Linked DNA regions of Sus scrofa. The protein of the gene in region 2 interacts with the protein of the main gene of each other region in a pairwise test. Links are inferred from orthologs where the notes say so. Each region holds a gene or a part of one and is shown on either strand. Other genes may lie near its edges.

What was found.
Region 1: the proteins of SDCBP2 (region 2) and PTMS interact in a two-hybrid assay, tested with the Homo sapiens proteins (2 studies listed by BioGRID and IntAct). The two-hybrid records come from large-scale screens. The link is inferred for Sus scrofa from reciprocal best matches to the Homo sapiens genes SDCBP2 and PTMS.

Annotation. Positions count from the first base shown.
Region 1 is NC_010447.5:63,939,306-63,943,052, forward strand, and holds the start of PTMS (parathymosin), read right to left. Parts: upstream 2,808-3,747; 5' UTR 2,015-2,807; coding exon 1,970-2,014; intron 1-1,969.
Region 2 is NC_010459.5:33,966,053-33,969,799, reverse strand, and holds the start of SDCBP2 (syntenin-2), read right to left. Parts: upstream 2,726-3,747; 5' UTR 1,586-2,725; intron 1-1,585.

The DNA of each region.
Region 1 (3,747 bases), on a different chromosome or scaffold from region 2:
GATACACCACACTGGCCCTTCCAACTGAGATTCCAGTTCTCTCTCCACCCCACCCCTTGGCAGGCACTGTGGTGTCTGTGTGACCAGATCGGGCCTGGTGTTGGTGTGCAACTCTGTGTATCTGATTCCATGTGGATGGAAGTTTTCTGGGTGAGTAGATCACCCTGGGAGGGTGTGTCCTTTCTGGAAAGGGGGGGGTTGGATAGGAAAGGGGGTTGGTGTAGGATGGTTGGCCTAGAAGGACACTCAAGTCCTTTCTCCCTTTATGGGGAGCACAGAACGCAGGCCCCCTTTCCCTTCAGCTAGGTTTCTTCACGCGACTTCGCTGTCCTCATTTCTTTTCCACATGGCCAGTCTGGCATTTCTACTCCCTGGTGGGCTTTCCCCTTCATCCTGGGCCTGGAGAGCCAAGGGGTTGTCAGCTTCTCTCTGGTGGCCCCAGTACCAGGTCTGTGCGGCCCTGGCCTGAGTTTCCCACCCAGACAGATGGAGAGGGAGGGAGAGTAAGTGCCAGGGAGGGAGGGAGACTAGCAGAGGCCAAAGTCCAAGGGGCCAGGCCCTCTCCTCCCCTGTCCAGTCCTGTCCTGTCCTTCTGGTCACTGTCCTTCCATGATCCCTTTTCCAGGAGGGTATGTGACCTGGGCCTTGTGCTAAGCAGCTCTCTGGCCTCATTTACCCAACACAGGCACACACACTGACACAGGCTGACACCGATTCACACACACCGCTACCGAGGGGCGCTGAAGCAATCCAGAGACACATGGCCGGGTGTTTGGGCGTGCTGGCACACACTCTTGAGACAGCACTAGAGCACAGTGGAGCCACTCGGCACTCACAAAGCAGCAACATGGCTCCAGAACAGCTACGTCTCCACATGCACACATGTAACTGACACGGGCAGTCCCACACACTCGCTGGATTTCAGACATACAAAGACACCTACTCAGTGAAGTCACATGCCACCGCACAGCCAGCCCACCGGAGGGCCGCTCAGCACACCTTAGCGCTCACGCGGAACCCCTCTCTCTCACTGCCTTAAACCCCACTGGTTCCCCTTTTCACTTCACGGCCTCCAGGAGACCTCTGTGGCCTCCCCAGCAACCGCCCCCACCCAAGGTCGGGCTCCCCGCCCCCAAACCCTGGCCGAATTAATTTCCCCAAGCAACACTCAGCAGGTTCCCTAGGGAAATTAGAGGAAGGCTGGAAGAAAGGCAAGGGCGAAGGGATGGGGCCAGGGAAGGAAGCTGATGAGAGCAAAGGCGGCGCGATGCAATGCCATGCAATGCTGAGCCTCAGCTTTTTCGAAGGCTATTCCCGGCCCCCTTTTGGTTTTTAGGAATTCGAGCTTCTCTAAGTGTGGGAGGGAGACGCGGAGGGCTATGGAGAGAAAAGAAAGCTGAAGGCCAGAGGAGGAAGGAACGGATGTAGATGGAAGGAGAAAACAGAGGCAGTAGCTCTCGGAGATAAGCAAGAGCCGGTCGGGCCTCGAGGGGAGGGGCCCGCGAGGAGCAGCCTCCCGGGAGAGTCCTGTTTACACTGGACGCAGGCTCTCAAACCGCTTAGCAGAGGAAAGGTGAGGTCAGACTGGAAAGGGAGACGGGGACCGGGCGCCGGAGAGGGGCGCGGGGGAGGGGGCATGGCAGATGAGACGCGCAGAGCTCCGACGGACACCGGCTGGGGTGGCGGCGAGCGAGCTAGGGCCGGAGAGGGGTGGGGACGGCACCCGGCCGGAGCGGCCAGGCCGGGAGCCGGGTGCGCGGCGCTCGGGAAGCTAGAGGGCGCTGGCGCTAGGCGCGCGGCGCGGGGTAGGCAGCGCCGGGCTGGGGCGCGGGGGGGAGGGCGCAGCGGGGTCCGCCGGGACCCCGAGCCGGGGCAGTAGTGTGGGGCCGTCTGGGGCGGCCCGGGGCGCACGACCGCGCGGAGCCCCGGGGGCGCGCGGGGGCCAGGCTAACGCCGGCCCCGCCCGTACCTTGGCGCTCAACTCGGCCGCTGCCTCCACGCTCTTCTCCGACATGGTGCCGGGGCCGGGGCCGGGGCTGGCGGGGAGCCGGGGTCCCGGGGCCGAGATGGAGAGGCCCTGGACGGCGGAAGGTGGCCGCGGCCGGAACCTGGCGCGGTGGCGGCGGCGGCGGAGACAGCGGCAGCGGCGGCCGCTGGGCAAGCTGGGGCTCTGGAAGAGGCGGCAGAGGCGCGCGGGGTGGGGCGGGGGTGGGTCTGGAGCGGAGACCCGCAGGGCTGCGGCCGTCCAGAGGGCGGGCGGAAGGGCGGTGCGGGCGGTGGCCGGCGCGCTCCGGCCGCGATCGCTAGGTCCTCGGCTCGCCGCCCCCGCACCCGCAGAGCTGCCGCCGACCAGCCGCTGCCGCCCCCGGGCAGGGAACCCGCTTATAAAGCGGCGCTGCCCGACGGGAGGGGCTTCCCAGGGGTGGGGCAGGCGGGAGCGGGGAGGAGAGGAGAGGGGAGGGGGATGAAAGCGGAGGTTGGAGAGGTGGGGATAGGAGGATGAGAGCAAGGGGAGGGAGTGCGCGAGAGGCGGGAGGGAGGACTAGACCAGGAGGGGGAAATGGAGAGACTGACGGTCGCGGAGAAAGGAGTGGGGCGAGGAGGTGGGGAGGGGTGGGGTTCCTGCGGGGAGGGACCTCTCCTAATCCCGACCTACTGCCTGCGAACGTGGAGCCCGACCCCCAAAAGCCCTGAGATTTTGCCGAGGGATGGGGTGGGGGGAAGCGGATGGAAAGGCCGGGCAGGTATTTGAGAAACCAAAAGCCTAAAGAGGAGGAAGAGGGCGGGAGCCACTTCCACTTCTCCCTGGATTTCCCCTCTCCTGCCTCTCGGTTCGCTGGGTGGCCTTGAGAGGGATTAGAGAGCAGAAAGGGCAGCCCACCCTCCGTCCTGCCCGAGGCTGACATTTGTGTCCCCTGCTGGGTTCCTCCCTTCGCGGCTCTTGCTTGTGATCTGAGGAGGGGCCGAGGCTCTCCAGCCTCCTTTCCACCTTCGACCTTTCTTATTTGCCCGGCTCACCTCACTTTTCTTTGCCTGGTCCTTCTATTTCTCTTCATTCCTCTTTATCCATTTCTATCTCCCATCTCTCTTCTTGTCACCTCTTCTCCACTTCTCACTTGCCCTCTCTGCATGCCACCTCTGATGTCTTCCCTCTCTTTCCAGACAACATAGTTCCTGGCTCACCTGAGTCTGTCACCTGGCCCTATATCCTTAGCTGATTTTCCTCAACCCTTCTTCACTCCTCTCCTTATTTCCCACATTTTCCCTTTCTTGATGTTTCTCCTTCCTCTGCTGCCTTCTTCCCAGCCTTTCTGGAGTGTATCTGTCTCCTTTGCTGGGGGTTCCAGGCCACTCTAACCCACACACCCTCGGCTCCTCACCCACAGTCTCAGTATCTTTGGGTCATTTTGAGAAGCTTGCTGTTTCAGGAGGGAACCGGAGCTAGGGTGTGTGACACAGGTCTGGAAGGTGGATGGGGCGGAAGGCTAGGGTTTGGAAAAAGATATCTTTGGTGCGTGTGCGCTCCTATATTTGTTTATCATCAGTCTTCATCTTTGTATCATTTTCATCTTAATAAAAAAGACATAACTGATGGATCATCACCATTTCGTCTCGGGGTGCCCCTACTGTCTTTTGGTCCCTTGGTGTACACACTTCCCAATTTCTCCTCTGACTCCTCTCTCAGTTTCTCAGTCTCCATCTCCTCAAAAATCTTGGCGCCCCACCCAGGCTTTTCCTTGGCCAACT
Region 2 (3,747 bases):
GAAATGGTGAGTCGGAAAGGAAGAGGCTGTTGCTAGGCCACCAGCATGTACTCCCCTCCTCTCAGGCTGTACTGCCTGCTGGAGGAAAGCTGTGGACTTCTTCAGTGGATGCAGATACACTCCCGAATCCTTGTCCAGGAGGGGCAGAGTGGGAGCAAGGACCTCAGAGGCAAGCAGGATGGGTTCAGACTGCTGCCTCTGATTTAGCAGAGCAAGCATGGACATGTCCTTTTGGCATGTCGTTTATCTGTAATATGCTTAACAATACTTGCATCGCAGTGTTATCGTAGAGATGAAAAGCTTCTTAAAAGAGATAAGACATATATGGGAAGCACTGGCACATAAAGGGTACGCAGTAGTCATTAGCTGTTGTTCATGCAGTACATTTACTGAGTGCCTAAGTCCCAGTACTGTTCTGGGTACCAGTAATTAGGCAGGGAACAAAAGAAAAATCTGCCCTTGAGTGTCACGTCCTAGCTGAATAAGTAAGTGCCTGTGCAGTGTTAGGTGGTAGGACGTGATGGGGAGAAAGATGAAGCAGGGCGGGGGCGGGTGGGGGAGGTAGACAGAGCCCGGAGGTCCCGAAGAGCCTCCCTGCTGGGTGGGGGAGATGGGGGTGGAAGATGCCTTTTGAGTGAAAGTTTCAATGGGGAGGGAGAAGCGTTGAGGCTGAGGGCACAGCCACGGCAGTGGCCCTGAGGTGGGAGTGCCTGTTGTGTTCAGGAAATATCTGAGCAGGGAGACCAAAGTCGGTTGTTGAGAGGGGAAGCATAGGACAGGCGACTGCAGGGGTGGTGAGAGGGGCTAGATCCAGCAGGGCCTGTGGGTCATGCTGAGGGCTTGGCATTTACTCCAGCGAAATGGGAGGCACTGGAGAATGTTGAGCAGCAGAGTGACGTCTAACTTTCATTTGGAGGATGGATTAGAGGGGCCCAGTGGGCAGGGAGCCCAGCTGAGAAGTGATGCGGGGAGAGCTGGTGGGAGTCTGGGCCAGCGCAGGGCCTGCCCGGCACACAGCAGCCCCATCTTAAGCACCATTTTCTGAGGCTCACTGTGTGGAGGGCACGTACGGGGCCCTTATATCCATTACCTCATTCAGTTCCCCCGACTGCGTGGGAGTCTCCACAGAGGAAACCAGCTCTCGGGTCAGGCCGCCGGCCCAGTTCCCCAGCAGGTTTTCCTGGCCGTGGCAGGGAGCTTGTGGATGGAAACAGCTTCAGGCAGAGAAGTAACAGAAACTGAGGCCTGCACTCGGCTCCTTGTGGAAAGTGCTCTTTGCCCTGCCAAGGGCCCATTTCAAGGAGCAAAGTGTGGGTCCCAGCCGCGAGCGCAGTCCCGGGCAGACTGAAGGAGCCTGGAGAGTCCTAGCCATGTCTGGGTGAAGATCACCCAACCGTCACACCTGGCCCGGGGCTGGGGTCAGAAGAGGAAACCCCAGTTCATGTTTCACTGCCAGAGAGAAGCACCCTGAGAGGAAAAGGCCTGAAAGTCCCCAAAGGGTTGGGACCAGGAGGGAAGAAGCCAGGAGAGAGCAGGTCACGCCGATCCCTTCCGGAGCTCTAGGGGCCCCGCACCCGGCTCTTACCTGCAGCCCAGGTGCTGCTGCTTGTCCTCCTCCAACCACTGCCAACGGAGTCTGTTCCTCTCCCTGGAAGGCGGTGGCCCTTGTTCCAGCTGGGTTCCTGCTCCCCGGTCAGCTGACTCATCCAGGACTGGGATGGGCCCAGGTGCGGCGTGGTGGCTGGGGCAACCTGCCTTAGGTCACCAGGTCCAGAGGAGGGCTGTGGCCTTAGTCTGGATGTGGAGGTGGGGATGGAAGCTCACACAGCTCCTCTTGAGAGGGGTGTGAACCAAGACTTCCTGGCTCGAGGTAACCGAACTTGGCTCAGACACGTAGTCCTGCTGAACATCAGGACAGATTGATGGGTCTTGAAAAGTGGCCGTACCTTGTGACCTACCATTTCCTTTTCTAGGAATTTGTCACAAGAAAATAAAACAAGTAGCCAGTGAGGTCTCGGGGGCCCATCACTGTGTTTCTTATAACAGGGAAATCTAGAAATCCCCAAATGTCCATTGCCAGGGTCTGGTTAAATAAGGCAGCCTCTGTGGAAGGTCATAAAGCTATCAGCGTTGTTGATAAGGAAGGAACCAGGAGGAAGTGTTCCGGCAAGATATGGAAAAGTCAATATTGTGATAATCAGCTTGTCTTTTGTTTTCATTTTTCCAAAAGTGAATAGATACTGCAAACTGTCTGGGAGGACAAAACTGAAAAGGCTGGAAATCCAGATGGTGGGGTGGGGTGGGGGTTGTTAGTTTGTACTTTTGTGTCTGTTTCAGGGTGGTGGGGTTTGGTTTTGTTAATCTTTACTTTGAACGTTCATGATTTTTGTAAGGAGGGGCCGCCAAATTAAGGTTAATTGTTTTTAGGAGTTCCCGTCGTGGCTCAGTGGTTAACAAATCCGACTAGGAACCATGAGGTTTCAGGTTCGATCCCTGGCCTTGCTCAGTGGGTTAAGGATCCAGCGTTGCCATGAGCTGTGGTGTGGGTCGCAAACGCAGCTTGGATCCCGAGTTGCTGTGGCTGTGGTGTAGGCGGGCAGCTACAGCTCTGATTCGATCCCTAGCCTGGGAACCTCCCTATGCCTCAGGTGCGGCCCGAGAAAAAGGCAAAAAGACAAAAAGAAAAAAGAAAAAAAAAAGATTAATTGTTTTTAGGAGGAATTTAGATGGGTTGTCTCCGGGAAGAAGTAAGGGGCTGAATGCTGTGGTGGGAGGGGCTTTTTTTCATAACATACTTTGGGGTGCCTTTTAAATTTTGAAAAAATTTAATGTATTTAACTATCCCCCAAAATCAATCAAACAGAAAAGGGGGAGGAATGTAGTTGCAGTCCCTGTGGGTTGGGTTGTACAGAGGTGCCTGGGGAGGGACTGGCCCTGGTGCTGGGCAGTCCCCTGAGGAATGACGCAGGGCAGCCGCCCAGGGCGGGGTGAGTGTTGGGGCTGCTCAGCAGGCCGGGTGGCCCATGTCACAGTCCCCGTGACGAGCCTGGGCAGAGACGCACCGGCCTTGGGCGCATGTTCAGCCCCAGAGAGGAGGCCCTGCCGGACTCAGAGGCTTCCAGCCGAGAGCCACACATGGGAGGGAGTCGGAGGGGGAACAAGAGCAGGAAAGGCAGTTACCAGCCAAGGAGCCCTCCCTGCCTGCAGAGCGCGGTGCTGTACAGTCACAGGCTTGGTGGCTCCCGCCATCCCGCAAGTAGGCAAGAGGCAAGGTCCCTTCTCTGAAGTCACACAGCTGCACATGGCTCCAAGGTCCTGTTTTCCGTCTGTGAGAAAAAGGCACCTAAAGCTGAGGCAAGGACACACCCGAGGCTGAGCCATCTGGGCCCGAAGCGCCGGGGAACCATGGGTGTGGACCCTCCTTAGGTGGGGTTCTCAAGGGCAAAGTAGAAAATAGAGACTGAACCAAGTGACACCCCACCCTCCACACACCTCAGTTCACCCAGTCGAGGTCTCAAGGGGCTTTTGGAGAAGATGGAGGAACCAGAAGGGTGAGGAACTTGCTTGTGGTCACCCAGCACGTCCGCATAGACTTGGGACTAGAACCCACGTCCTCTCACCCCCACCGAAATGCAGGGGCTCATTCCATTCCCTGGTGCTACAGCTGCCTCCACCTCTGACTTCTCCCCAGCCAGCCACCCAGAAGTCCTTTTTCTTGGCACGCCCTTGCTCAGAGTCTTCAGTGAC